Regions from separate parts of the Mus musculus genome. Here all the other regions are reported to be linked to region 6. Evidence: microRNA targets listed by miRTarBase, many of them from high-throughput screens and not tested one by one. Region 6 holds a microRNA gene; each other region holds the end of a gene's coding sequence. Distances are from middle to middle.
Evidence for each region. Region 6 holds the annotated microRNA mmu-miR-324-3p (CCACUGCCCCAGGUGCUGCU, at 2,596-2,615, shown strand). A microRNA usually pairs through its seed, bases 2 to 8, with sites in the 3' UTR of a target mRNA and lowers its output. Matches are read on the target gene's strand: a 7mer-m8 pairs with bases 2 to 8, a 7mer-A1 pairs with bases 2 to 7 and ends in A, and an 8mer does both.

Region 1 (4,065 bases), not on the chromosome of region 6:
CTCCCGCCCTGGTGGGCTCCTATGGTACCTCCCCTGAGGGTATCGGAGGCTACATCCATTCCCACCGGCCACTGGGCCCAGGAGAGTTTGAGTCCTTCATCGATGTCTATGCTATCCGGAGTGCGGAGGGTGAGAGAGAACCTGGAAATGTTAGGGGGAGCGGGGTGATGGGGACCCTTGGGAGACAGAGACCAGGGTGGTGGGTGGAGAAACCGCTTAGCTTTTCACAACAAAGTTATCTCTTGGGCAAAAGGAGTTGGGACTGTTGTACCCTGTCCTCACTGCTGGCCTCTCTCCCCAGGGGCCCCCCAGAAGGAGGTGTATTTCATGGGCCTCATTGACATTCTGACACAGTATGATGCCAAGAAGAAAGCAGCTCATGCAGCCAAGACTGTCAAGCACGGGGTGAGGGTTCCCCACAGCCTTTCCTCTCCTGGCCTGACTGTTCTCTGGAAAGAACGCTTCTGGGGTCAGAGTAGTGGGATGGCTGAGGGAAGGCAGTAGGAGGGTGAACTGAGGGGGAGGCGGAGAGCTCCTGTGAGTGACACTGTTCCCTGTTTTTTCTTCTCACAGGCGGGGGCAGAGATCTCCACTGTCCATCCTGAGCAGTATGCTAAGCGATTCCTGGACTTTATTGCCAACATCTTTGCCTAAGAGGCTGCCTGACTCCAGGGTGATTGCGGCTTTATGTTGGAGGTGGCGGGTTCTGAGAGGCTTAGGGGAGCTGGACTTGGCCGTTACTTCTCTTCTTTGCTAAATTCAGGCTGCAGGCTCCTTCCATCCAAATAACTTCCTTCTGGTGGATAGGGTTTTCTCGCCCACCCCAGACATACACTGTCCTTTCTCCCCTTGTCCATTTCTCTGCCCTCCCTCCTTGCTCCCAGTAAGCCCTCCTGCTTCTTTAGAGTGTTATTGTCGACTCTTCTAAGTGCCTTGATCTTTGAAAAATATCTTGTTTCTATGAAATAGGAGGAGCTGGGGGAGGGGTTGTTTGCCATCTTCGGGACCTGACTGAACAGTGGACTTGGCTCAAGCAACTGCCTGGATGCACTTTTGCTGAGTGGAAGAAACTGAATGTCTGGATTTTGCTGATACTTTTATGGGGCACTTTGTGGCATGCTTCCTCCCTGGTAAGCCCTGGAATGGAGGGCTTTCAGGATGCTCCAGATGTGGGTGCAGGCATTCACACATGGACAGTCTGGCCTGGAGGTCAGGTGGGGAGTGGTCAGCAGGCTGGCACCTCACAAGGCAGGACCTAAGCCTAAGCGGACTTTTGTGACTATGCAGATGATGGAGAAGGTCCCTGTGGAGCAACGACTGTTCCCGACTGTTCCCGTTCTCCCACCCCACCCCACCCCACGTCCACCTCTTTCTGTGAGCACTTTGGGTGCAGGAGCCCAGAGGCTAGCGGTGCCCGAGCTTAGGTGCAGGTGTGAGACTCGGGCTGCTCTTCCCACAACCCTGTGCCTTGCTGGTGAGCAGGGAGAGCAGTAGAGGCCGGGACAGGTCGGAGTGCAGGGTTCATTGCCTGGGTGACACCCTTTCTTCCTGTCTCACTACTCCTGGGCTTCTTTCTAGCAGAGGGGAACAGTACCATCTCCATAATTTGGGGAGGATAGAGCTCTCGAGTGAAGGAGCCTCCGCATCCCTGGGGCATGTGTACCTAGAACTCCCCCTCCTTCTCAAAACCCTTTCTGGTTGGAGTTGTTATTCTGTCCCATCTTCCACTGCTAATGTGTCTCCCAGGGGACAGATGGCCTTCTTTGTCATCTCCCCTCTCCGCCCCCAGAGAGGAGTCAGAGCCATAACTCAATCCACCCAGTCCTCTCCAAAGACAGCTGAATATTAATGCACGCCATCCTCAGAATGGAGAGGACCTGCTAGGCATCTTAGCTCTCCCAGCTCGTGCCTGTAAAGCCAGCACTCAGGAGGCTCTGAGAGTTCAAGTCCAGCCTGGGCTACTGAGTGAGACCTGGTCTCAGGAACACTCCAAATAGGTTTGGGTTTGAGCGCTGGAGATCATAGCTGAGTTGGTAGTGTGCTTGCCTAGCATGTACAAAGCTCTGGGATCCACCCCCAGCACCACTTAAGCCAGGCGTGGCGGTGCACGCCTGCACTCCTGGCCCTGGGAAGTAGTGGTAAGCAGGATGGGGCATTCAAGGTCATCGCCAGTTAGTTACTTGACGAGGTTGAGGCCAGCCAAGGAAACAGGAGACCATCTTGGGGAAAATGATTCTAAGGAGAGATAGATTGTCTTTGTCTCTGCCTAAAGCCTTTGGAAGCAAGCCACTCATCTTCGCTGTTTGGCGCTCTGGAGGTGGGGTGGGCATTGAAGGCAAGGAGCTGCTTTGCTGTGTGTCCATGAGGTCCTCAGGGAGAAGCCCACCTCCCTCACCAAAGGAAGCAGCAAGATGGGTGCCCGGTTGGGGTGGGTGGGACCTGCTGAGTCTCCCATCCCTCAAGCAACCTTTCCCCTGTTGAATGCAATAAGTGACTCCGGTCCCTTAACAACTGGGGTCTCACCGTGCGGCTGTGGTCGTGGGCAGTGTTGCCATCTTCACTTACTGCTTCCGTTTTCCATCTGTTTTGTTAATAAAATATGTATATTTACTCCCGATATCACAATAAAATAAATTATTTGATCTAAGTCATTCACAGAAGTTTTTGTTTTTTAAAAAACTGAGTAACCCATCCTATGTTTAAGAGTTACAGAGTCCAACTGAAAAATATTGGTCTTCAAGGTGTTGGGCTCCTGAGTATGTGTGTGTGTGTGTGGGGGGGGGGTGTTCTAAGATGACTGTGGACTTGGAGTTGTGGGGTGGACATGGGAGCGGGAAAATAGTCGCCAACCTTGTGGCGGCCAGAGTGGGAGTGGGATGGTGTGTCTGTCTTCATTATGCTCTTGCTCCTCCATCTGTTAACTTTAGTGGGCCTCTTGGGGTACCAGCTCTGTGGGAAGGAATTCTCTGTTCACGCAGACTTCCTGGGAAAGCTATCTGCTTAGAGGCCAGGAAGAGTCCAGCAGGGTCCTGGGAAAGTGAAGGAGTGACCAGTCCTCCAGTTCAGGGGGGAGGGGATGGAGAGGGGTGGATGACGTGGTTGGTGCTAGTCTGGGAGAGTCAGTACCTCTTCTCTTGGCTGAGGAGGTCTCTTGGCTGGTGGAAAAACCTGGCTTGATGTAGCCCCAGGGAAGTGAGCTGGAGGAGGCGGAGACAGCTCTGACGGGAAGCAGAGCGGAGCAGAGCTTTTTTTCTTTGGGAATTTTTAACTCTATTTGAGCCATGTACTTGACACTAACACCACCCTGAGCCATTTTTAAAGGATCTATCCACCTCACGTTCTGCACAGACCAGTGTCCTTACTTGTGGAAAACTAGTCACCAGCCCACTTCTGGTAACAGGCTGCGAGGGTTGGGGGTGGGGGGGGTCACCGGAGGTAACAGTCTGGAAGGAGGCAAGAGTTGAGGGAGGGGATTGAAGTAGTTTAGTCACAGGGTTTATTTTGTAGTACCAATGTTTTCCTTTTTTTTTTTTAAACTTCCCATCCAACATATTCCAGCGTAAGACTTCAAAAAAATTTCCCTCCCCTTCAATCTATATACCCACCGACACTGCTCCCACCCCTACCAGTTCCTAAGAGTGCAACGCAGTTGGCTGGGAAAGAAGTGGGGAGAGGTCTCCTCCGGGAGGGGGAAGCCAAGAGAGTGGCGTTTCTAAGGGATTTAACCTCCTACCCTCGGCTACATGACGCCACCCCTCCCTCCAAAGACTGGAACTGCGCCTCCATTTTTGTTTTGGGGCAGAGGCAGGGGCTCCCGGGTAGGAGGGGGTCAAAGGAAACGGTGATTATCACCCACCAAGGGGAGGGGTGCTCTCCCTTCCTTTCTCTCGGTCTGCACCCCGGCATCCCCTTCCACCTTCTCAGGGTCTCCCCCCCACCCCCCCGCCCCTTGTTGCTAAGGCCCGGACCGTCATCCCAGCAACAGCCTCAGTCATGTGACCGGCAATGGCGGCGCTGACGAGAGGTAGGTGAGCCCGGCGCCCCCACACCCACCGCGTGCCCCCC
Region 2 (4,063 bases), not on the chromosome of region 6:
TGCCATGCTTGTACATGCCTAAAAGAAACCACGTGTTGTCAGACTCCAGAAGTTCAAACCAACAATGGCTACTGAGTTCTGTAGAACTGAACCGCCTCCTTGCCTCACAGTCACTCTGATCACTGTTCAGGTCGCAGGGAACCTTGTACCTCAACCAGTCAGCCAGGTCCACTCCAGGACTCCACTATGTATCCACCCCAGCACAGTCATATGAACATAGATGTTCAATATTTTCTAAAGAAATCCCAGGGTCAGGGTTCAAGAGAATGATCAGGCCGAACGGGAGTTACAAGACAGCACTCAGTTCTGTACTGCAGTGACAGTGGCACATCACTGTTCAAGTATCCTGGTTTGTCTGGGTGTGGTGGCGCGGGTGTCAGGTTAGTAATGGGGAGGCTGTGGCAGAACAATCAAAAGTTCAAAGCCAGCATAAATTTCACCAGATTCTGTCTCATAGAAAGGGACAGCGAAATGCCTCATCACAGGGACCAGAGTTCAGACCTCAGCGCACACATCAGATCATAAAAATCTCTTAACTTCAGCACAGAGGGATGCAACAGCCTCTCCTGACTTTCTCCAGTGCCTGCACCTAAGTGCACAGACACACACACATACAAAATAGTTAAGGGTCTACAGATATAGCACAATAGTGAAACACTCGCATAGCACGTGAGGCTCTTGGTCTACTGTAGCACCAAACCCAAAGATGCTAACAAGAATTATCAGCTGCAAGAAGGAAAAACAGGACCTCCCCATGTCTCTCTATAAACCTAAAACTGCTCCAGGCGTGGTAACACCATGCCTGCATTCCATGCACTGGGCAGGGTGTGGCAGGATTGGGAGTTCAAAGCCAACCACAGCTAGTGAGTTAAACTATCTGGCAGGCTCTGACTGCTCTCCCAAGGGTCATGCATGAATTCAATTCTCAGCAACCACACGGTGGCTTACAAGCGTCTGTAATGGGATCTGAAGTCCTCGTGCGGTGGGTGTGTCCGAAGACAGTTACAGTGTATTTACTATATATAAAATAAATAAAACCTTTTAACCACTGACACCTGAAACAATGTCTCAACAGGGCATAAAAATAAAACATGGACTCCATGAACATGTGATATCTTGGATTAGTTTACTATGATATATAGGTATTACTATACCTAATAATTTTTATCCTGCGAAGATAATACAGATGTAAGATGAAAGCATTACATCTAGATGTTTGCTTGGGATACCAATGCCAGAGCAAGCAAAGGGAACCACAGGCAGATCAAGGAAGTTTTCTGAGAAAAACAAAAAACCCAAATGTGTGTAGCATAGGCAAAGTAAAACCAGGCACAGTGATATACATCTGTGATTCCAACACCTAAAAGCAGGATTGGTTGTTGAACATAGCATGTTTGCAGCCTGCCTAGACTATAGAGAGCCTGACTTAAGGGGCTGGAGAGCACAGAGGATTGGAACAAATAAAGCATACAGAGTGGCCAATGGTTTATAGAAGATTAGTGCTGGGAAACTGCACCTCAGAGCATACTTGCTAAAGTTTAGAATAAAATGACAAGTGAAGCCAGGTGCAATGGGGTGCCCGACAGTCCCTGCTATGAAGTCTGAGGCAGAGAACAGAAGATCATCTGAGCCTAGGAATCAAAGACCCTGTCTCTCAAAATGGGGAAGGTTCATTATCAATGATGCTCCACTCTAGGGGGCCTGGAGAATTGCCCCACCCTCTCTGGATCCTCACCTGACCCAGTGGGAACTGTTGTTTCCTGGGTGATACAATGAACCCACCCAGCTATCCCTGGATCAAACTGAGGCTTGCTTCCGGTGCTGAGCAAGCCACCACACCACCGGCACCGTGAAGTACTACTGGACTCAATCTGGCTGGGGGACACAGGCAACCTGCCCAGACAGACCTGAAGGCACACCCGGCTCCTGGAGGGACAGTGGCACCCCAGGATGAAATTGACACCACATAAATAATTCCAATTTTTATTTTCTTAAACTGATATGACACAGTGAAACACAAAAGGGGGAGACTCACAAAATTCATCTTAAAATTGACAGGCCTGAGCACTGCTTTCATGAGCAGGTTTGGCTCATACCACACACAGCCAGCCACACACACACACAGCCACCCAGGAGCCTTTCAGGAACCAGGTGGTGGGTCAGGAATCCCTGCACTAGCCTCCCTGGTGGCTCTGGGTTCCAGTTGGCCACAAAGCAATAAATACAACATGTTACATGCAAGGGAGGTCATAGGGTGACTAAGGAAGAGACTGGTCTTAGAGATCTGCTTTCTTGTACAACTCTTGTACAACCAAGCACAGTGGCAATATTTCAAGTATTGCAAAGAAAAACGTGTGTGTGTGTGTGTGTGTGTGGCCTATAACTCTGAAACCCCACATCAGCTTGTGGACACTCAGATACTTTCAAGTATGCATGAACAGAGCCGTGACAAAGGACTGGCAGGTCAGGGAGGCTGGGAAGGTATTAGCATGTGTCCACCCTGGAGCCTGGAAGACGAGCTTCAGCACAGATCCTGAAGGCCACCAAGCACAGGAGCCAGACTGACAGGAAAGCTCCACAGGGGACATGTTTGCATATGTTATTCTTCACCCACACCTCCACTGCACAGGGAGGACGGCACCTGGGCACTGCCTTTTCTGCCGCCCTTCCAGGGAAAGTTAATAGAGATAGCCAGCAGCACACTCGCTCTGGCACATGCTACAGCCTCAGCCACACAGCGGGCACCGTCTCCTACAAGGACAACATCCAGTGTGATACCTGGCCTGCCCTGCCTCCGCCCTTTCAATCCTTAAACATCTGAAGTTTCCTTTTATGAACAAAAACTGAGTTGGGAGGGTGGAGACACATCTTAGGAGTAAAGTGTGGAAGTTGAGGAGTTTTAACAAGCATGGGTGGTGCTTCACACAATGAACTGTCTGTCCCTAATGAACATTTAAACGTGAGGACTATCTCTCCCTCAGGAGGCAAGCCTGTTGCTTTCCTCCAAAGACCAGACACAGGAGGAGGTGAACACTGGGCTTTTTATACACAAAGATGTGGTCTGCATCTATACAGCGTCTTGGAGGACGAAAGCCAGGAACAGGAGGCAGGTTCCCAGCAGTCTGCACTGCTGGCTAGGTTCTCCAGTCTCTGTATGCATAAAGTGCTCCGGTGACTTACAAAGCTGGGTAAGTAGTCTCAGAGGGAGAAGTTCCTAGAGAGAACAGGGGGCCAGAAGACCATACCCTTTTTTCTTGGACAAGCAATGGGGCAAGTGAACTGTGAGGAAAAGCTTGCTTTGGCTTGGAGTCAGCAACGGTCTCAGGCCCTTGCCTGACACAGGGCTGCCATGGGCTCTTCAGGTGGCAGGTGCCACTTCTCGGCACCATACCTGCTTGCCAGGGAGCCAGCTAGGAAGAATATGTTCAGAAACTCCTGTCCCAGTGGGCAAGGGACCCCTGGCACTCTGATGTCTACCTGCCAGCAGAGACTGGCAGTCTAGGAAGCAAGAGTTGCACCAGTCTGCACAGGTCCACTGTGGAGCATCCCTGCTGGAGTTGGCTGGCAGCAGTCTCAGCACCATCGGATCTGATCAGTGTTGAGGACAGTCTGCCAGGTCTCAGACCCTACCCTGCAGGTTGGCAGCAGGTAGTCAGGCATAGACACCACTCAGCAGGGCCGAGAGTCTCCTCTCAATGCACAGCTTGCCTGTGGAGGAGAGAGCATGAGACAGGGAGGCCACACCTACCACCCCCACTTAAGCTCCGGAAAGGCACTCACATTTGGCAATGTTCTCAATGTCTGCCTGGTCCGTGAGAGTGTGCTGCAACCCCTCCAGCAATAGCAGGGCTTTGTGATATCTCGGTACACAGCCCTCTCGGTGCTGGAACATCTCATCAAGGGCAGCTGATTGTACCTACAGGCAACAGCAAAGCTGGGCAGGGCTGGGGCACGACAGGGGGCCTGACTGCTCAGCATACTGCGGATTTGCCCAACTTCACTTGTAGTTGTGTTGTGAACACAAAAGGTCTACGGAATTAGCTACAGATGCTCATCCACATGG
Region 3 (4,065 bases), not on the chromosome of region 6:
TACATAAAACTAAATAGAAAAAAAGTGTTGTGGAGCTGGTGTACATTTTAGCTTTATGCCACAGAAAGGTGCTTGCTCTATCTAGATTTGTTAATCTAGTACAAATGAGATCATCTGTGGCCATTGCTCTGCCCAGAGCCATCATAGATAGACATACAATACAAACACAGTAAGTAAAGGGCTTTGGTGGTTTGTAGCCTCCAGTGCAGCCTTGCCCTTGGGAATGGGGTGAGGTAACACTGCTGTTCCCTCCTGTCTCACCTCACCTGTTCTGTCTCCCGACCATCCCGTTCACGCCCATCTCTCACTAGGGCCTCTCGCTTGTTCCTCTATATCTTCCTACAGGCTCCAACACCTATGAAGATGCAGCTGCCTACATCCAAACACAGTTTGAAAGCAAAAACCGCTCACCCAACAAAGAAATTTACTGTCACATGACTTGTGCCACAGACACGAATAATATCCAGGTGGTATTCGACGCCGTCACCGACATCATCATTGCCAACAATCTCCGGGGCTGCGGCTTGTACTGACCTCTTGTCCTGTATAGCAACCTATTTGGTAATTCCAGCACTCACAGAACAGCTTGTGCACACACACACATACACGCGCACACACACACATACATGCGCGTGCACACACACACACACCACTAACCAGTGCAAGTTGGTAAATAAACTTTAAAGAGGCATAACGTAACCTTATCTATACACAAGTATATATTAGAAAAATGTTTTTAGTTAATACTCAAAAGAGCTGCGGACAGACTGACCACCATCCCTGGCTCATCAGTTTTCCTGGGACAGCACATGAGCATGCACACATGTGCATGCACACACTCACACAGGGCATGGTGGGAGCCTGGGTTGGCAATCCTTCCTCTAGATATCCCCAGGGCTATGAGCAGGGCAGGCAGAGGGAGACCTGGTTCTCGACAGCAGCCCCCAAACCCCCTGCATCCTAATACAAGGCTACCTGCTCAATTCTGCCCTGCTCCTTCCCAAATTCCAAAACCATTTAAGAAACGGCCAACACTCAAAACATCCCCCTACCCTCTAGCCACAACAGAGAACTCTTAAGGACCCTTCTCTCTTGGGTGGTGGTTGTTTATTTCAGGAATCTAGAAGAATCATTGCTCCGATCAATCCACTGTCTCCTGAGTTTTCTTTATTCATGGGAACAGGGGAAAATTAGGGAGATGGGAGACCTGGTCTGCTTTCTCAAATAATTGAGGGGAGGGGATGTGTGAGCCATTGCCCAAGCTCACCTAGAGTTTAAGCCAGATTCCCTTGAAGAGGCCCATGGATGAGGTGTGAGCGGTTGGGGAGGGCTGGACTGGCAGACCAGGCTAGAAGCAAGGTACAAGGCAGGGCTGGGCTTCCCCTACTGCGGGCTCCCCACTGTGCCCCACCACCTGCACTAGTTAAATGTTCTAGGTTGGTTGGTTGGTTGGTTGGTTTGTAAAGTCAAAGAAAATGGTCAGACTGGCCCCTATCTCTCTCTCTACAGACTGCTTCATGGACTCTTTGCTGTTGATGTTGATCTCCTGGTAGCATGACCTTTGGCCTTTGTAAGACACACAGCCTTTCTGTACCAAGCCCCTGTCTAACCTACGACCCCAGAGTGACTGACGGCTGTGTATTTCTGTAGAATGCTGTAGAATACAGTTTTAGTTGAGTCTTTACATTTAGAACTTGAAAGGATTTTAAAAAACAAAACAAAAACCATTTCTCATGTGCTTTGTAGCTTTAAAAGAAAAAAGGAAAACTCACCATTTAATCCATATTTCCTTTTTATTTTGAAGTTTAAAAAAAAAATGTCTGTACCCACACCCTCCCCCTTCCCCACCTCAGCAGAACTGGGGCTGGCACACAGAGGCAGTGCTGGGCCTGGCGCCTCCCAGGGCTTCTGTGCAGCCCATGGCTGGTGGGAACATGTCAGGCTAGTCTGTCTAGAAGGCCACTGGCCACTGTACCCACCCTTCCCCATGCCTGTGGGCTGCCCAGACACCTCATATACCACCAGGCAGTGGCAGCTCCGCCCTGCTCAGCCACGCGACTCCAAACACACTCAAAGTTTGCGTAGAAAAAGCACAGCTCTGGCAGGGGTAGCTGCCACAGACAACGCTCATCACCTATAGAAATCCAGCCCTATAGAAGCAATTCACCCAGCCCCTTCCTACACTCCCTTTGTGTTGTTAACTTTTTGGTTTTTCTGGTCCTAGTGAGTGCCTCCCATGCATACCTGACCAGCTCTGCCAGTGTCTGGGGTCTGGGGAACAGGGGTTGTGTGGTTTGGTTTTTGTTTTTGTTTTTCCTTTAACATCACAGCCTCTGGCCTTGGGCAGAAGCCCTCCCCTGTGTGTGGCCCCCTCTCCTCTCTGTTCCAGTGACCTGTGTTCCCTCGCTCTCATGTTGGGATGTTTGTGCTGCAGATAAAAAGAACAAAAAAAATAAAGTTTTTAAATACCACAAGATGGAAGAAAAACAAAAAAAAAATTAAAAAGATGGAATGTAGTGTTTACATTAAAGCCAGTTTTCATGATCAGTCCCATGTCATTTCTACTTGACTAGTATCTAACCCCAGACCTGTTCATGGTTTCACTTTTAAGACAATATTTACTGAAGACCAGTCACAGCCATTTCAATAAAGGAGGCGAAAGACAAAACACAAAAAATTTAAAAATACAGAAAAAAAAAACTTGAAAAAAGGAAAAAAGTAAAAAAAAAAAAATAAAAATAAAAAGCCCACGGGTCTTTGTAAGCCTTTCTATTCCCAACGGTGAGGTTTCTGTGACACCTGACACTGCCAGCCTACTTCTCTAATGGATTCCTGTGTAGCTCAATAAAGAGAATGTTTGTCTGTACCAAGTCTCACCTTCTGCCTTCCAGACGATCGTCCCTGGGGTGGGCTTCAATCTGACAGGAGACAATTGGCCACATACCCTGGGAGGGTGGTGGGTCAGGAATTTCTCCACAGGATTGTCTAGGTCCCTCAACATTTTGTCACTGAGGGGAGACAGTTCAGTAGCACAGTAATTGAGGAAACTGTCTTTCCTCTTTCCCCTCAGCCCCCTCTCTCCTGTCTCTCATGTGTGCATGTGTGTGCTCTTGCAGGCACATTTATACACACACACACACACACACACACACGCATACACAAACAGGAATGAGAGCAGGAAGATGGGCATCTTCTTTTGGCTGCAACTCCTCCAGCACATCTGGTTTTATGGTTCCCAGTGACCTGAGACTGGGGCAGGAAACAGGGAGAAACAAGCCCGGCCGCCCCTCCCGTCTTCCATGGCCAGGGCTTTCTCTCCAAGAGGAAAACAGGTGCTTCCAAGGAGCTCAAACCGCCCCAGCCTTCTGCACACCCACTGTGATGCCAAAGGACAAGCTCAGCCCAAAGACTCTCCTGAAGGCTTCTCCTTGGCTTTGCTTGTCCCACTGCTGCTAGGTCCAAGGGTCTCAGCAGGTGAGGCACATGGGAAGCAAGACAAAACAGCTTGGCTCTCAGAGTCTGAGCTTTTCAGCCAGTGATCTCTCTATGACCTCTCAAACTATGTGGCTTTGCATAAGAACTAGCAAATGGATTGCGACTGGGCCTACCAAAATGCCTCACACCACAGGCCAATCATTAGGCAAGCAGCTAAGGGCATGTTCTGTATCAGTGTAATGGGGAAACCTTACAAGGTCTATTAATGAAATCCTATCCCAACAGCACCCCACGTGGAAATTCTTAGCTCAGAAGACACATGTCATAGCCTTTGGTCATTTGAACCCAGCATGGTGTATGTGTGAAGGTGTAGACACAAAACTGTTTCAGACCAAGTCTAATGGTCCTGTCCCCAGCTGTCATGGGTACCTGGTAAATGCTGGCACACCCAGAAGGCTCTTCCACCAAGCCACACCTCTTTTCCAGTGGCTTCCTTACCAACTGCCTTCACTTGCTGAATACAGAGGGAACCACTCAACCTCCAACCAATCTACACCTTGACTGTTATATCAGACGACAAACCAAGATCCCAACGGCAGGCCAAAGGTGAACACGACCAGACCAGTCTGG
Region 4 (4,065 bases), not on the chromosome of region 6:
GTCTATTCTGAAATTCTCATGTGAACCTTGAGCTTGGCCAAGCTCTGGGGGAGCCTAAGAGCAGGCAGGAAGTGCAGAGAGCTGTGGCTCAGTCAGGTGGGATGGACACTGTGGCGGGGAGCTTTATGGAGGACATCACAAAACTGATGAGATTCTAGTATTGACCTTGGTAATATCATCAAGTGAAAGCAAATTATGCTCTTGCCTCTCTCTTGCCTCTTGCTCCCCCTCTCTTCCTGTTCCCTTTTCCCCTTTCTCTGCCTCTGCTATCTTCTTAACCACCTCCCTACCCCCATTCCCTAAATAAATCTATTTTATACTGAAAAGCAAAGAAAAGCAAACATGTATATGTGCACATCTGTCACATGCAAACAGAGTATGGGGAGAGGAAGGTGAGAGAGATTCTGATTCAAGGCCAGCATCATTAACCAGAGGTTAGAGAGGAAAAATGCCACTTTGGTCAGATATGTTCCTAAGAAGCCAAAATTTGACGAAGGGTTCCATGCTTGGTCTGTAGATAGAAGCTTTGGAGAAGATGAATGAAGATCACATTCAGAAGAACGGGAGGAAAGCAGCCTCGTTTCTGAAAGATGATGGAAGCCCACCTGTGCTGTCTGCCGACTAGTACAGCGGTGACGGACGGCAGCTGCCATAGCCAGCGAGTGGAGGTGACCTGACATACCAAAGCAGGAGTGGACAGTGCTGCTTCTGGGCTTCTCACTTGTGACCCACGTGCCAGATGTGTGCAATTTTTAACTCGGCATTGAAAGAATAAAATGTCACTACCTCTCATCTTACAAAAAGGATAATATAATTCTTTAACAGGTATAGATGTGTAGCCACAGGAGTCTGGATTTTATACAACTCATGATCTGAAGTGTCTAGATGAGGATTTTCACATAGGCAGTGTTTCCAAATGTGGGAGGTGGGGACTGAGGTGTTTGCAGGGGAGGCTCGATGGCTGCGCTCTGCTCCATTCCGCTCGCCTCCTGCTTTCCCTTGCGTCTTTGGGTGGATGTTGCTGTTTTAAATTAGCCCTTCCTAGCTGTTTGACCGTGAGCGTGGAGACCCCAGTGGGTACTAGAAATGGGCACTTGGCCTCAGTGGATGGTGGAAATGGACATAAGCATTTTATTGGTACACCGTAGATGTGTGGAATTCTACATTTCCGTCTCATAGCCAGGAGAGGTGACAGGTTTCTGAAAGATAAATATAAAAGGATTTCTTAACTACATTTTAAAACTTAACTTTCAGGTTTTCTTCATTAGGTTAAATGGTTGGTTATTTACATTTATAATGAGAATACAAAGTATCTGGAAGGGCAGAAGGTAAGAATGGGATCTGCTACATTTTAAGAAGGCAGTGAAACATTTCCGTTTACGTTTCCCCAAATTGTTCACATATTGATTGCTAATCATTTGGAGAGAACTAGAACAAAGTAAGTGGAGCTGTTCAGTAAGTGGAAGACACAGCCTGAACAGCTCAAGTACTGAATTGACCGGCTAACTCGGCTGTGGGCCTCTGCCAGCGTCACACTGGCTGGACTCGGCCTGAGAAGGTGAGCCTTGTTCTGAAGACCAGTGCTTGCTTGCTCTCACCTCATTACCCCAGTTCCGGGAGTTACATTGGATCCACTAACCAGCTTCACTTTCTGTCTGGTTATAAAGAGTAAATGTAATTTATAGTTGAAAAATTTTAACATTATTTTAAATTGCCAAATATGTTCTTTCTCGACTATTTATTTTTGTTTCTGTTCTACTGCTTTAATTGCATTTCAGAGGAGTGAATTTAGGTGGCTCATCCCACTTATGTTTGCTGCTCCACACAAAGATTTAAATGATGAGAAATTATTGGCTGGACACAAATTGCAGAAAAGTCATTAGAAACAATCATTTAAAACTTTGTTTGCTTTCTTCACATATTCTTTCTCAAACCATTGCTTGGAGTGTGCTATGAACTTGCCTTTCAAGAAATTAAAAATGAAGAGATCATTTTAGAATTGGTTCATTGTGTGGTTAATTCTTTGTCCTTATTTTAATGTCCTGGCACCAAGACACCCTTTCTATAGCAAAGTAAGCAGTGCAGTTTTGGTTTGTTTGTTTTGTTTGTTTGTTTGTTTGTTTGTTTGTTTTTCAAGGCAGGGTTTCTCTGTGTAGCCCTGGCTGCCCTGGAACTCACTTTGTAGACCAGGCTGGCCTCGAACTCAGAAATCCGCCTGCCTCTGCCTCCCGAGTGCTGGGATTAAAGGCGTGTGCCACTACGCCCAGCAGCAGTGCAGTTTTAAACACACACACACACAACTTTTGTTTTGAGTTTTACAGGTATCCCCCCCGAAACCCCTTTGTGAAGTCAGGACATTTTTCACATAGCTGGAGATACTAGTTTGATAAATAATCCAGTAAAGTATGTATATAATAGGAATACTTTGTCTTATTTTATTATTGACTGTAAAGATGTATGTATGTATGTATGTATGTATGTATGTTACCGAGCTGGAGAGATGACAGCAGTTAAGAGCACTGACTGCTCTTCCAGAGGTCCTGAGTCCAATTCCCAGCAACTACATGGTGGCTCACAAGCATCTGTAATAGGCTCTGATGCCCTCTTCTGGTGTGTCTGCAGACAGCTACAGTGTACTCACATAAAATAAGTAAATAAATCCTTTAAAAAAAATGTTACCAATGCAAGGGTGATTGGAGAGAATTTCTGTTTCTATAAGATAATTCATTACTAGTTTCCATGATATAAGAATGAGATGCCAGTATTTAGGAGGTAGAGGCAGACAGATCTCTGTAAGTTTGAGGCCAGCCTAGTATATATAATGAATTCCAGGTCAGCCAAGGGTATGTAGACTGTCTCCAAAACAATTACAGCAACAAAAAGTTGAAAGTTAAAACTCTGGATTATGCTTGCACACACCTTTAATCCTGGTAGAGGCATGGAGTGAGGCAGGAGGATTACTACAAGTTTGAGGCCAGCCTCAGATTCTGCCTAAAAAAAAAAAAACAAAATGGATGGACAAAGCAGACTGAAAAAATCAGGCAGCTGATGGGGAGATGTTAAGTAAGGCTGACTCCCTTAGAAGATAGAAACTGTAGTAGTTTGGATGTGACACCCCCCCACCCCGACATCCCAGGCATGCTTGCATGCTTGGTCCCCAATTGGTGGGACTGTTTGGGAAGGATTAGGAGGTGTGGCCATGTTGGAGAAGGTGTGTCACTAGAGGTAGGCTTGGCAGACTGACCATCAGAAGGGAATCCTGCCTGCACATTAAAGTCCCAAGCATTGGTAACACTTGAGAAATACTGGAGATGTCATTCATCTGATTATAGTTTCAAGCCTGAGTTTATGGAGGTATATATTTTTCTATTCGACTTTTGTAGGATCTACATTAAAATTTACTAAGTATTCGAGGTTTGGGGCTGATGAGATGGCTCAGTTGTTAAAGGCTCTTGCCACCAAGTTCATGATCTGAGTTTGATCTCTAGTAGGATTCACCTGGCAGAGTGAGAAAAGACTTTCATGAGAAACAAATTGGCCAGATGGATTAGTCATCCAAAGGCTGACTGGGACTGAAGAGTCTACTTTCAAAGTGGTCTCATTTATCTATGGGAGAGAAAGTTTCACCCATGCTGTCTCAGAGTGATGGGACTCGACATGAACAGGAGGAAAGTACAGCTATTTATTGAATACATACTTTACACAGCACAGAGACTGAAGTTAAACTCTGGATTGTCCTTGCACATACCTTTAATCCTGGCAGATTTTCTCTGAAAACGAAAGATATTCTGAGTTGTTGGACAAAGGCCACTGTGGTGATCTAGAGCAGAATGGCCCGCAAAGGCTCAAGTTTGAATATTCGGCCCACAGTCTGGGAAGGATTAGGTGGTGTGGCCTTGGAGGAGGTGTGCCACTGTGGGTTGGCTTGGGGCTGGGTGTAAAGCTCTCAGCTACTGCTCCAGCATCATGCCTCTGCTTCCTGCCATGATGATCATGGACTAATCCTCTAAGCAAGCTCCCAATTAAATGGTTCCTCTTCTGCGTTGCCTAGGTCATTGTCTCTTT
Region 5 (4,065 bases), not on the chromosome of region 6:
GGGAGCGGAGCAGAAGTAGGGACAGGAGCAGAAGAGTGCGGTCCAGAAGCCACGACAGAGATCGCAGCAGAAGCAAGGAGTACCATAGATACAGAGAACAGGAGTATAGGAGAAGAGGAAGGTCACGAAGCCGGGATCGAAGAACGCCAGGACGATCGAGAAGTAAAGATAGGAGGAGAAGAAGGAGGGATTCCCGGAGCTCAGAGAGAGAAGAAAGTCAAAGTAGAAACAAAGATAAATATAGAAGCCAAGAAAGTAAGAGTTCACACAGAAAAGAAAATTCTGAGGGTGAGAAAAGAACGTACTCTAAAAGTCGTGATCATAATAGCTCAAGTAATAACAGGGAAAAAAAGGCTGATAGAGAGCAAAGTCCAGTGTCAAAAACAAAGCAAAGCAGTCAGGACAATGAAGTGAAGTCCTCCACATTAAAAAATCAAGAGGACGAAAAGACCAGATCCCCGGTGGAAAAAGAAAACCAAAAATCAAAGGGTCAAGAAAATGACCATGTACATGACAAAAATAAAAAATGTGATCATGAATCAAGCCCTGGAACAGATGAAGACAAAAGTGGATGAGTGAGTTGTGTACTCTTAATTCCTTCCTGTCTCAAATTTTCAGTTTTTAAGACTTACTGTTGAACCTCCCTTTTTTATTGTTTTCATTGTTTTGGAGTTGTTTATGTTTGTCTCCCCCCACCCCCTTTTTTTTTTTAAATGTGGACTTCATTGAGTTGATCTTTTGATAATCTGCTACCTGGATAATTTGTACTGCTAAAGTTTTAATAAACTTGAAATGAAAAGAAAAACAACACTTTGGTGTAATACTGTGTGCTATGTTAAATTCTTATGTATTCATTTTTGTGTTGCAACCGTCAATAGCAGCCTACTTTGCTTAATCAGCCATTTGGAAACAAGCTTAACTGTTGGTTGCAGTACATTGTTGTATAGGCTTGTGTTTCTTTTGATACAAATCCCTTTAGAAACCACTTGAAGTTTTGTATAGCTTTTTGGGCTTTGATTTTTCATTTATAATTCATGGGCTTAGAGCAGTTTCCTTAACTAACAGAAGCAGGATCCTTATGTGATCTTAAACCTTCATTTGATTTTACAGTTATTTGTACTTTAGTTACTTTTTTTGTGCTTTATACCTTATACTTTACAATTCCAGCTGTAGCTTGTTTCTTAATATTGTCCACGTTGCTCTGCGAGCTATAAAAATGAGGTGAGTGCTGTTTTCAGTTCATGTGCTGATTGAGCTTGAGTTGCTGTTATACAGCATTTGACAGAAATTAGACCTTGGAAGACCAGACTGTAATTTTCAATTCTTTGTTGCTTTTGGTGTGAAGAGCTGAAATTGTTGCTTTTTAAGAACATGTTATTACCTTTTTCTACAATTTAAAAAATGCATTTCTCATTAAAACATACTACTTGTGTAGATCCTTCTTAAGCTAGACAGATTCTAAAAAGCGTTAGTATTGGAAATAAGATTTCCCTATTTTGGCTATTAGCCTATATCACATTGAGTGGTAATTCTGCATGATTTGGGTTTGTTTTTTGTTTTTTTTTTTTTAAACTTGGACTAACTTCTCTGATTCTCATAGCTGTGAATATGAAATGTCAAGAAGATGCATCTTTCTATATATGTACCATGATAGGCTGTGTAGCATGTTTGTGACTCTGGTTTCTTTCTATTCAGATGGCTTTAGACCAGTTTACTGTTAACATTATTTTAACTTGGCATGTATAACATTGCCATATAAAGTAGAATAGAAAGTTGCAAAATATGATACCGTGCAGAGTTAAACACTAAACATATCCAAAGTCCATTCAGAATTTTGTGTGTTGTATTTTGCTATTTTTTTGTGATGTGTGGCCTTTTATTCTGTAATATCCTTCTAAATAAAACATTGAACATCCAGCAAACACAAAACCTGCCTCATTTGAGAAATATTTCAAAAATCCAATTAATAGTAGCCTTTAGGACGTTTTTGTACTCTAATATTTGTCAGTATAGTGTCAGCTCTTACCAAGGTAGCTTCTTGGTAAACCCACTAGCTTTTCAATGATATTTGTACTGAATAAAGTGATGCTTAATATACTTCCCATTATTGATTACTATGGTAAGATATATTTGGCATTGTAGCTGGTACAGAATGAAGAGTGCAGTGATTATAAAGCTATTTGGAACATCCTAAAGCAAATACCCACAATGGATTCTTTACAAATAGTTTTTCTTGATGGGAATAGTTAATATATACGTGATCTGTTACATGTCTTAAAAAGTTGATTATGTCTTAAATTCAGTTGTGTTTTAAAATATATCCCAAACTACCTGATCTTTAAGAAAGGAATTTCAACAAACATTTTAAAATCCATACTTTTTTTAAGTAAAATTACTTTTTTTTTCTTATCTAGAGCTTTTACTTGTTAGCATATACATTATAAACAAGAACTTTCCAGTTCTTTAGGAAAGTAAACATGGGAGAAAATTGGTAATGTCTGTAATATCCTCCAAGAGAGCAGCTCAGAGCTGAGCATTTACGGGCTCCCCCAACTCCTGCTTTGTTAGTTTGTTATTTTTTTCAATATGACAGATAATGGGGTAAATAGTTGAGAAAAGACAATCTAGATTTTTTTTTCAGAATAAATAATTAACAGCATTAATTGTACCCCAAGATTCACAGTTATCAATTGCACAAAGCCCAAATTCTTGTTCTAGTAGATTTTTAGTTATTTGTACATCATATTCCCAAAACTATTTCCCATTTCAATTTTCCCATCACATTGGCTTTCTAAGAATATCTAAATTTACAGCTAATGAATAGTTTTTAATACCCCTTGAAAGTACTTTCACTTGTTTTTATTGCTTGACTCCAAAGCTGAGGAAATTATTTCAGTATGTAAGACTTTGATGATTATTGTATGAATTATTGTTCTGGATAAGTTGTTTACCACAGAAATTGACACTACAAAGAGATCGTTAGAGAAAGTAAAGCTACTGTATTGTACTGCATTGTAGCTGATACAGAATGGTTACTTGCTGTAAAGACAAGACTGTCTGGGAACAGCTATCCAACGTTTAAAGTGCTCTTTCACTTAAAAGTTATGCTAATCTGCTAGCTTTCTTTGCCCCAGTGTGATCCAGCTGCTCACTGGCTTTGCTTGCATCCAGTGGTAGGTGTCAAACCAAGAACCTTTATGTTCTGGATAGGCACATGCTGGGGTTCTGGTATTTTGGGTAATAGTATTAACTACTGCTCCTACTTTATTTTCTAGTGACTACTTAGAGCAGTTAGTATAATTGATCCTTTGTTCCATGTGTTAATAGCTTTCATCATGGAACCTTTTACAGCAAATTTCTGTAAATTTCCCAGAAAGGACTTAGACTTAACTGATTGGTATAAAAAACTAAATGAGCATTTTTCATTCTTTTGTTTCTATTTACTGTAATTATTCCCTGTAGGGTTTATGCATTTACAGTTGACAAACTCTCTGTGTAGTTTGAGAAACTTTAATTGTAAGAATATATTTTTAAACTAATTGTTTTTAAAAATAAAGTATCCCAAGGAAACTGAGTGTTGATTGCCATTACTGCCTGCAGTGGGCTTCTCAATGTCTTGAAGGGATTCACCTGCTGTGTGACAAATAAACAACAAATCACATTCATTTAAAAAAAAAAAAAAGGCCGCACAGGCCAAAGAGGAAGAAGTGTTAAGGTTTTACTCATTTGCTCTCCCTGACTCACCCCTAGTACTGGAGGATGGAAGGGCATTCATTGGTTTGTATTTCTGTCTGGTTTTGGTTTTCTTTTATAGACAATTCCATGTTACTAAAAGCACATTCTCTGTATTTCTGCCCCACCCTCTTTGTGTGTTTATAGTATTTTTGAAAGATTGACACATAAATTGGGTATTTCTATGGAATCTTGAGGTGTGGCTGCTCTCTGTGGAAGGGGAAAGCATAATTAGGTTAATGCACTTCTTTTCCTAGCTCCACAGTCACTGTGATGTATATTTTTTTAATGGAATTTAGAAAACTTGTTTTCTCAATTGTAAAATTAGTTTAA
Region 6 (4,065 bases):
CTGGGCTCCGTGCCCCCAGAACTGACAGCTAGCCGTCAGAGCTTCCACATGGCCATGGGCAACCCCAGTGAGTTTTTTGTGGATGTTATGTAGGGACCCATCTTGAGGCCACATTGGGTCTGTGCCCTTGGCCTGGCAAGTTTCAGCCTGGTGCCCTTCATAGTGCCTGGGCTCAGCCTGGCGGCTGGTGCCTACCAAAACGTTTTTGCCACTGTGACTCTCACCAGCAGTGCCTGGTCCTTCCCCCTCTTCCTCGGGGGTAGATGGGGACCTTTGGTTATTTTTAGCTTTATTTTTTATAAGCTTTTTGGGGGGTTAAAATAGACTTTCTTATATTTGGGGGAGTATTTTTTTAAATAGACAGTTCCTCTTTTATATGGAGAATCCCTTCTAACCCCAGAATATGACCGCCACCTCCAGGTGCCTAGTCAGCTCTCATGTTGAGGGTGGGTGGTGGTCAGTGGTACCCTGGGAAGAAGAAGGTGTGGGCTGGGTACCCCAGACAGCAGTCCAAGGAGGCTGGTGGTGTGTTGGGGACTGTGTAGCTGCCTTTGTTACTCTATTTATTTTAGTCACTTGTACAAAACACCAAATAAAGCAAATAGAGGCCAACTCCCCAAGCCTCTGGCTCCTTTCTTTGCGAGGCAGGCAGTGGAGAGGAGGGAGCAGTGACATTCACGGCAGACAGTGACTTGGTAGAAAATTTATTGTTAAGGCAATAAGTACTCCATCACCCCCATAAAGGGTTTTGGCATCAGAGAAGGCACATGACCTTGCCAGGGCCTGATTGGGAGTCTCAGATTCCCAGGGGGTTACCGGTGACCAGGCCACCATTCTCCACCATGGCCTTGGAGATGCTTCTGAAGTTCCGGAAGAGCTCCTGATGCTGAGGGCTGGACTGCAGACTGGCCATGTTTTCTCGGATCCGAGTTGCAGCCTGGGGAGAGGGAAGGGGAGGGACGGTCAGGCCGTCCTGTACTGGGGAGCTCCAAGGCCCACCTGTACTGGGGAGCTCCAAGGCTCACCTCAATGCACCAGCTATCACAGAGCATTTTCTCATGCTGTGCCGTCGGGTAGCCCTCACTCAGGGACCTTGAGGCTCTGTGAGGAAACAGAGGTTAAAATGATCCTGAGTGCTGGTGTTGGCCCAGCTCCTCTGTGGCTCTAGCCTGCCAAGCGTCCCTCGCTGCCGCCTTACCTGGACAGAACCACCACCATGGCATAGAGGTCAATGGCGCCGTCCGCCAGTCGCTGCAGCAGGAACTGCTCGTCTGTCAGGTAGATGAGGGTGGGGCTGTTAGTCGGAGGGAGGGAATCAGGGAGGGAAGGGGGTTGCAGAGCTCACTCACTGACAATCCCTTTCTTGTGTTTCACCAGCTTGGCCTCCACCACGGTGGCAAATTGATCCAGAGCCTGCACTGCCTGAAGAGACAAGAGTCACAGACAGAGCTCAGGAGAGGAAGGCAGCGCACAGCCACCGCAGGCTCTGCTTTAAGGCTCACTCACCAGTTCACCACTGCGACTTAACTCTGGGTGGACAATCCCTGACAGACTCAAACCACTGCCGATTCCTGTCCTCCTGAGAGGAGATGGAAGAGTGACTGGTCAGTTGCGGCCTCCCATCTTGTTTGACCCTGACTCTGACCCTGGCCCCGGCCCATGAGGTACCGTCTCAGCTGTTTGCCTGCTTCTCCCATCAGGAGGCCAACGTTTCCAAAAGGATTCTTCAGGGCATTGCCCAGCCCAGTGAGTTCCTTTCCTTTGTCCTGTGGAGAGAAGGGGGACGGCGACAGTGAGGACTCAGTGTCCTCCCCAGCTGCTCTCTCTCATCCTCCTTCCTCTTACCATACAGCCTTGCAGAGCCACAAACAGTCGAAGAATGTCATTTGCCCCTTCAAAGATCCGGAAGATTCGAATATCTCGGAGCACACGCTCCACCCCTGGTTCCTGGCACGCAGGAAGACACAGAAACCTCTGTTGAGATGTGCCTGTCCACTCTGAACAGATGCCCCCCCCTGCCGAGGAATACTCTGTACCTTCATGAAGCCCATGCCCCCCATTATTTGGATGCACTCATCTGCCACTTTCCAGGCCGCCTCCTGAGGACAGAGAACCAGATGAGTTGGATTTTTGAGCTGAGGTCCTAATCTGGACTCCGCCCTCCCATCACACCTGGGTCCTCACCGAGCAAAAGATTTTGCTGATGGCGGCTTCTATCTGGAAGTCTTTGAATCCCTGGTCCATGTTGGCACTCAGCATGTAAGCCATGGACTAAGGGAGCATGGTCGGGACATGGGGAAGACAACAGGGAAGGGCTGCATCAGACAGAATGGCTAATGCTCAGACCTTCAAGACCAGTGCTGATCTACTCCTCCAACCCTTGAATTCACTTTAGCCTCCTGGTCAGGTCAAATATGTCCAATATGTGACCCTCTGGTATATCAGGGGCTTCGAGGCTTCCGACTTTGTAAAGGGGTGGGTTAAAAGTCGTGTTTGGTGCATCTGGGCAGCATTTAGCAGAGCAGCACCACCCTCCAGAAGAGAACTGACTATGCCTCCTCGCATCCCCTAGGGCATTGGTGTAAAGCTGGAGACCCACTGCCCCAGGTGCTGCTGGGGGTTGTAGTCTGACCCAACTGTGAAGAAAGCCATAGGGCTCCAGGGAAGGGGCCCAGGAGGCCCTTACCTCAGTCACATACTGCAGAATAGCCATCCGAGCCAGCTTTTCCTGGATCACCCCAAAGTTGTGAATTTTGTCCCCAAACTGGGTACGATTAGTAGCATGATCAACCTGCAAGAGGGCGCATGTTACCCCACTGTGGTTCTTCAGTTTCCACCTGGACGGGCTGGAGGCCTAACTGTGCCGATGGTCGAGTGTGCATGTGTGTGTGTCGGCGCTCTGAGGCAGTCAGGGACATGTGCTAGCTAGGGACTGGGCTGGGACTCACCGCCTTGGCAATGAGGGATTTCATGGTGCCTGCGAGGGTTGCAGCCATCCCGAATCTTCCGTTGTTGAGGATGTTGACAGCAACCTTGAAGCCATCTCCCACCTCTCCTAGCACATTCTCTGATGGCACCTTCACTCCATCAAAGTACACCTCTGACGTGTTAGATGCTTTGATGCCCATCTTCTTTTCAGGGAGCCCACTGAAAAGGCAGGGCAGGAAAGTTGAGGTATGAACAGGTTGCTGTGGGGGAAAACGGCCTTTTCGGGTCTCATGATCAGGGGAGAACTCCCCAGACTATAAAAAGGATACAGGGCACTGCCTATGTGCCCCAGGGGCTACGGATATCTAGCTATGGCCTGTTAGCCTGTGTTCCCCCAGTGGAAACAAAACTGCTCACCTCCTGTGGGTGCCTCTTGTACAGAGATAGCCCCAGCGTGGCCTGTATTGACTATTTGCTCTTGAGAGCCCAGTGCTGTCCCCATCCTTGATTCTGTTTTGCCCCATACTCACTGGGTAACCCCTCCGAAGCTCCTTTCCACTACAAAAGCTGTGATCTTCTCTTTCACGGCCCCCGTGGCTGCATCTTTAATTGGCGTCTTGGCAAAGACAGTGAAAATGTCAGCCAGGCCCCCATTACTGTGGAAGAGTGAGGTGGTTAGTATAGGGTTTAGAGCAGCAGGGTCAGGCCACTGGGCTGAAGGGTAGAAGAGAAACGGAAGATTGCCTGATCCAGATCTTGCTCCCATTGAGAGTGTAATATTTTCCACAGGGGCTGGGTATGGCTGAGCTTCGGATGGAGGCTACATCGGATCCACTCGAGGGCTCTGTTAGGCAGAAAGCAGCCAAAGCCTGCCCTGTGGGGGAGAGAACGGGCTCACTGGGGATCCTGACCACCAGAGTTGCACCCCCTCATCCCCAGGCAGTTCCTTGTAACACCGTGAGCAGTGTCACACTCCTTACCCCTGGGTCTCTTAAGGTTGCCTTACCAGATGCCACTCTGGGAAGGTATTTTTCTCTCTGGGCCTTTGTGCCATAGAGCAAGATGCCTTTGAAACCGATGCTCTGATGAGCTCCCAGGGTAACGCTAACACCAAGGTCATGCATGCCCACAATCTCT
Region 7 (4,054 bases), 190 kb from region 6:
GGGTAGGTCTGCTTCCTCAAGGGCTGGACCAGCTTCCCAAGTGAAGTACTGGTTTCTGTAGGGAGAAGTGAGGTTGTTGGAAAGGCTAGCTTCTAGAGAGATGGATGGGAGGTGGGGGCTTTGAAAGAGAAGCTGCAACTCCGTCTTAAGGAGCCAGCTTAGGGTCAGGTGGAATAGAGCGCTTGGTTTCTGCCCCTGCTAGGCCCCAACCCCTAGCCTTCCTTACCTTTTTCACAAATGATATGGAACATTCGGTGTAAGAGGATGCGGATTCGGCTCCAGAGCTAGGTATAGGAGGACATGGTGACCACAGGTAGGTCCGTGGAACCAGGCCTGCCTCCCACCCAGCCTCCCCAACCACACCCTCCATCCCTGACCAGGGTCACCAAATTGATGCCAATGTTAATACAGACGATAAGACCCAAGAGCAGCAGAATGGAGTTTCCCATGTCCTGGCAGTTGTTGATGTTGGGGTTTTGATACGAGGCCCACCCAGGCCGAGGCCGCTCAGCCATGGCCATGGTGGTCCCTAGGGCCACCAGGGCCCTTAGGCCCCCAGCCCACTACCCCTAATGCCCACTAGCCTGCCAGTCTGACCCAGAAAGTCCTGAGAGTGACCGGGTCACAATGAGGTTGGGGCTTTCCCTCATAATGTGCTAAGATGATACTCTCAAGGTGCAAGGCCCAGGGTTGCCCCCCCCCCCCAGCCTTAGCCCAGGCCTCGGCAGGAGCCAGACCCTTTCTTTGCATCCTTTCTTAGAGCCAGCCTCCTGGGTGAACACACTGGCTTTCTAATCTATTGGGCATCTGCCCTCATCAGTTTTTATGTCTTCTAAAGCACCAGGCCCTGGACCACACAAACATAGTTGCTGACCTTTTGTTTTGTTTTGTTTGACTTGAGACAGGGTCTCATGTAGCCTAAGATGGCCTCAAACTTTCTATGTAGGCAGGAGTGACCTTGAACTCCCGTGTTCCCTGTCATTACTACTCCAGTCCTAGAATTACAACATACACCATGTCCAACATTTTTATCTTTTTTGTTGTTATTTTCAAGACAGGGTTTCTCTGTGTATCCCTGGCTGTCCTGGAACTCACTTTGTAGACCAGGCTGGCCTCAAACTCAAGAGATCAGCCTGCCTCTGCCTCCCGTGTGCTGGGATTAAAGGCATGTGCCAACACTGCCCAGCCAGCACTTTTATTTTAAAGATGGGATCTCGTATTTAGCTCAGGCTGGTCTTGAGTTCCTGCCCCACCCCACCCCCCGCAGTGGCCTGAATGCTATGATTATAAGTGTTTCTGACTATTTGTCCATCCTGGTCTCTATGTTAACCATCCAATCCCATCCTGGTCTCTATCTTAACCATCCAATCCCGTCAGGATGGAGACTTTTCCCTTTGCCATTTCTCCTCAGATCTTAAGAGTTATTTTCTGAAAAGGGTTGGGCACTTCTTCCCACCCCCTTCTAACAAGACAGGTACAACCAGAGCTGGGTACCCTCTCCACCCTCCACCTACCTTCTAACACGACAGGAGACAACACAACCAACAGTTAAACTTTTATATTTACAATATTCTCTTCATCTTTTGCCAGGTTTAAAAATGTGTACAGAGCCGCAAAGGGTTGGGGTGGGGGCATGGGATTATTTGGAAAGGGGCCGGGCATTGGAGTCCGTGGCTGTATCGTGGGGTCCCCCAGCCCCTCTCTCACACCCCAGCTCTGGGGCATCTGCTTACAGGGCTCAGGGCCCAGGTTGATAGCTTTTGGAAGGCATGGCTGTTCCAAGAGTTGCTAGACCAGGCAGGGGAAAGGGCCAGAAAAGAACTACATTTCCATGGGGGATGGAGAAAGGACAGGGGCTCAAGACCAAGGATTCTGGACCTGGGTGTCAGTGGAAGACAGCACCCCACTCCTATACAAGTTTGGCACTAACATCCCTCAGAAAGCCAAACAATACATGAAGATTCAGCCACACCTCCACTGGTGTCCCTTAAAACCCTTCCTGACAGCGTTCTTTTCCCCAAGAGGTCCAAATCCAAAGACCTCTAGGCAGCTGCTCCCCATATTTCCTTTCAAAATCTTCCTGCTGGTGTCTGCCCTGTCCCCCACAGCCCCTCCATCTGCTCCTTGGTACGGCTGACCTCATTCTCTTCCCCAGCCTGTCCATGTAACCTTTTTCCCTGACTCCTCCCTTCCCCCTCTCCTCAGCTTTCTTTCTTCTTCTTCAACTCAACCAACCAGGGAGGGGAGACAGGTTAAAGAAGGTAAAGAGAGAAGGCTGGTCTGACCCTGAGATGGGGAGAGAGCATCAAAGAAGGAGCCAGTGATGGAGAAAGAGGAACCAAGGCAGAGAAGGAGAAATGACATGGGGGTGAGACACAAGTGGGAGGGTTGCGGGGGACCACCTTAGCTGCCACCTGCTCCTGGCGTTTCCCTTCCCTGGACTAGAACGTAGGGGATCCTTGGCACATTTTGAGAGTCTCCCAACCCATCTACCCAGTTTGGCACGGATGAGCAATGATCTCAAGGACTGAGGAAAAGGCTGTCCTCAGGCCCCCTTGAGGGCTTAGGTTAAACATGCATGGCCTCTTGTGTGACATGTGCCATGCCCCCCATCCTCCCACCTCGGCGTCTCCCTCCAAGTCTCTACTTCCCACGTGGCTTCTGTCCATTAGAAGTCTGCTCCCACCTGCTATGCAAGGAGGAAGTGTGCGCTGGACCTGAGGTGTGGGAGAGGGCAGGGGAGTGCTGGGGGGCGCAGGACCCTCTGCCTGGGAAACACACATCCACATGCAAGAACATGTTTCCATTCGATGAAATGCGTCCTGGGCCGTGGGAAGGTAAGTTTCCAGGCAGCGCTGGGATGCACAGAGATTCCCCCTTTCCTCTAGCAGGAAATCTCTGTTGTCTGTGGAAGGTGAGGGCTTCCAGGGAGCACGGGCTTCACCTGCCTTGTGCCATGGGGGAGAAACATGCTATTCAGGGGTGGGTGGGGAGCGGGGTCCAGGGGGCCTGTGATTTCCTAGCTGCTCCCCAGGTACCTCCCTGTATTGTCTGGTGGCCAAGGGTCACCGGATGTGCACACATCACTTCCAGGGTCTCCAGGGAGTTGGACGGGGAGGAGAAGACGAAGGCATGGGATACAAATCCCCGCAGAAATTCTTGGAGGAGGCAAACATGTGTCCAGGGCGGCAAAACAAACAAACAAACAAACAACCCCCCCCCCCGAATAAAACAAAAACAAAAAAAAACCCAACCAACCAACCAAAAACAAAAAAACCAAACAAACCTCACCCTGCACATGGGAAAACACCCCCCCCCCCTGAGGAAAGCATGTCTTCACATGGGCAAAAGGACTTCCACATTTCCACACACCGAAGACTGGTGTCCCAACGGAGGGCAAAAAATACCCCCCAGGTGTTCGAAGGCCCAGGTCCAGAGGAGATAATGGGGCTCTCTGCATGGGAAAAACTCTCTTCCCAGTGAGGAATCCCATGTCCACCTTAACACTGCTCCACGAAGTCTGACAAATCCACGGGGGCAAAGCCCGGTGCCAAGTCCTCCTCCCTGCCTTCAAGTGGCCTGGGCTGGGAGGGCTAGGGAGGCAGACCTCCCAAAGCCGCCCCCTATACCCGAGTGGTGGAGTGGGGATGGGGTAGCGTGTTGTTGTGGCTGGTAGCAGTAGGGGGTGGGGGTGGGAAGGGCCCAAAGGGATGGAGAGAAGGGGGTGGGGGCGGGGGCGGGGGCCCCAGGCCACTAGGCAGCAGGGTTAGGGCCCCGGGGGCCAAGAGAGGCACATCGTCCGGTGCCCGGCGCAAGGCCAGGGTATAGTCGGGTGGACAGGCAGGGCGCAGGGCCTCAGCAGGGTCCGCCCCAACACCACCACCCCGCTTCAGCTGCAGCGATACTAGCTCCTCCTCCGGGGGTAGCTCACGGCCAGCAGTGGGAAGCAGGGGGCCCCCACCAGGCACACCTGAGCCTGAGCCTCCTGGTGGGCTAAGCCTCCGGCACCGCAGCTCCTGGCGCCGGTCCCGCTTGTAATAGAGGGCGGCAAAGG

Region 1: the mRNA of Pip4k2c is a reported target of mmu-miR-324-3p. Seed matches in the 3' UTR shown: 7mer-m8 at 2,542-2,548.
Region 2: the mRNA of Ulk1 is a reported target of mmu-miR-324-3p. Seed matches in the 3' UTR shown: 7mer-m8 at 2,647-2,653.
Region 3: the mRNA of Gnao1 is a reported target of mmu-miR-324-3p. Seed matches in the 3' UTR shown: 7mer-m8 at 1,877-1,883 and 7mer-m8 at 2,025-2,031.
Region 4: miRTarBase lists Riok3 as a target of mmu-miR-324-3p. Seed matches in the 3' UTR shown: 7mer-m8 at 903-909 and 8mer at 1,359-1,366.
Region 5: the mRNA of Ppig is a reported target of mmu-miR-324-3p. Seed matches in the 3' UTR shown: 7mer-A1 at 2,162-2,168.
Region 7: the mRNA of Nlgn2 is a reported target of mmu-miR-324-3p. The part of its 3' UTR that is shown has no 7-base or 8-base seed match.

The regions. Positions count from the first base shown.
Region 1 is chr10:127,195,653-127,199,717 of GRCm38, reverse strand. Pip4k2c (phosphatidylinositol-5-phosphate 4-kinase, type II, gamma) reads left to right here. Exons shown (of 10, transcript NM_054097.3): 8 at 1-129; 9 at 302-405; 10 at 574-2,651. The coding sequence ends at 654. F420014N23Rik (RIKEN cDNA F420014N23 gene) reads right to left here. Exons shown (of 3, transcript NR_045716.1): 2 at 2,524-2,581. It overlaps Dtx3 (deltex 3, E3 ubiquitin ligase), which reads left to right and starts at 4,009. Exons shown (of 6, transcript NM_030714.2): 1 at 4,009-4,024.
Region 2 is chr5:110,782,520-110,786,582 of GRCm38, forward strand. It overlaps Ulk1 (unc-51 like kinase 1), which reads right to left. Exons shown (of 28, transcript NM_009469.3): 27 at 3,781-3,916; 28 at 1,970-3,708. The coding sequence ends at 3,653. Among named protein-coding and RNA genes, the nearest start is that of Pus1, 4.0 kb to the left of the region's middle.
Region 3 is chr8:93,966,523-93,970,587 of GRCm38, forward strand. It overlaps Gnao1 (guanine nucleotide binding protein, alpha O), which reads left to right. Exons shown (of 9, transcript NM_010308.3): 8 at 346-561; 9 at 1,510-2,866. The coding sequence ends at 533. Among named protein-coding and RNA genes, the nearest start is that of Amfr, 44 kb to the right of the region's middle.
Region 4 is chr18:12,154,703-12,158,767 of GRCm38, forward strand. Riok3 (RIO kinase 3) reads left to right here. Exons shown (of 13, transcript NM_024182.4): 13 at 518-2,665. The coding sequence ends at 625. Among named protein-coding and RNA genes, the nearest start is that of Rmc1, 12 kb to the right of the region's middle.
Region 5 is chr2:69,749,808-69,753,872 of GRCm38, forward strand. It overlaps Ppig (peptidyl-prolyl isomerase G (cyclophilin G)), which reads left to right. Exons shown (of 14, transcript NM_001081086.1): 14 at 1-4,065. The coding sequence ends at 575. Among named protein-coding and RNA genes, the nearest start is that of Ppig, 29 kb to the left of the region's middle.
Region 6 is chr11:70,009,500-70,013,564 of GRCm38, forward strand. It overlaps Mir324 (microRNA 324), which reads left to right and starts at 2,544; the gene lies at 2,544-2,632. Dvl2 (dishevelled segment polarity protein 2) reads left to right here. Exons shown (of 15, transcript NM_007888.4): 15 at 1-610. The coding sequence ends at 93. It overlaps Acadvl (acyl-Coenzyme A dehydrogenase, very long chain), which reads right to left. Exons shown (of 20, transcript NM_017366.3): 7 at 3,935-4,065; 8 at 3,673-3,802; 9 at 3,459-3,584; 10 at 2,949-3,147; 11 at 2,687-2,791; 12 at 2,185-2,271; 13 at 2,037-2,099; 14 at 1,846-1,947; 15 at 1,669-1,766; 16 at 1,507-1,579; 17 at 1,350-1,422; 18 at 1,199-1,271; 19 at 1,026-1,101; 20 at 684-937. The coding sequence ends at 797.
Region 7 is chr11:69,821,580-69,825,633 of GRCm38, forward strand. It overlaps Nlgn2 (neuroligin 2), which reads right to left. Exons shown (of 8, transcript NM_001364137.1): 8 at 1,544-4,054. The coding sequence ends at 3,624. It overlaps Spem1 (sperm maturation 1), which reads right to left and starts at 586. Exons shown (of 3, transcript NM_028855.1): 1 at 378-586; 2 at 227-284; 3 at 1-55. The coding sequence starts at 521.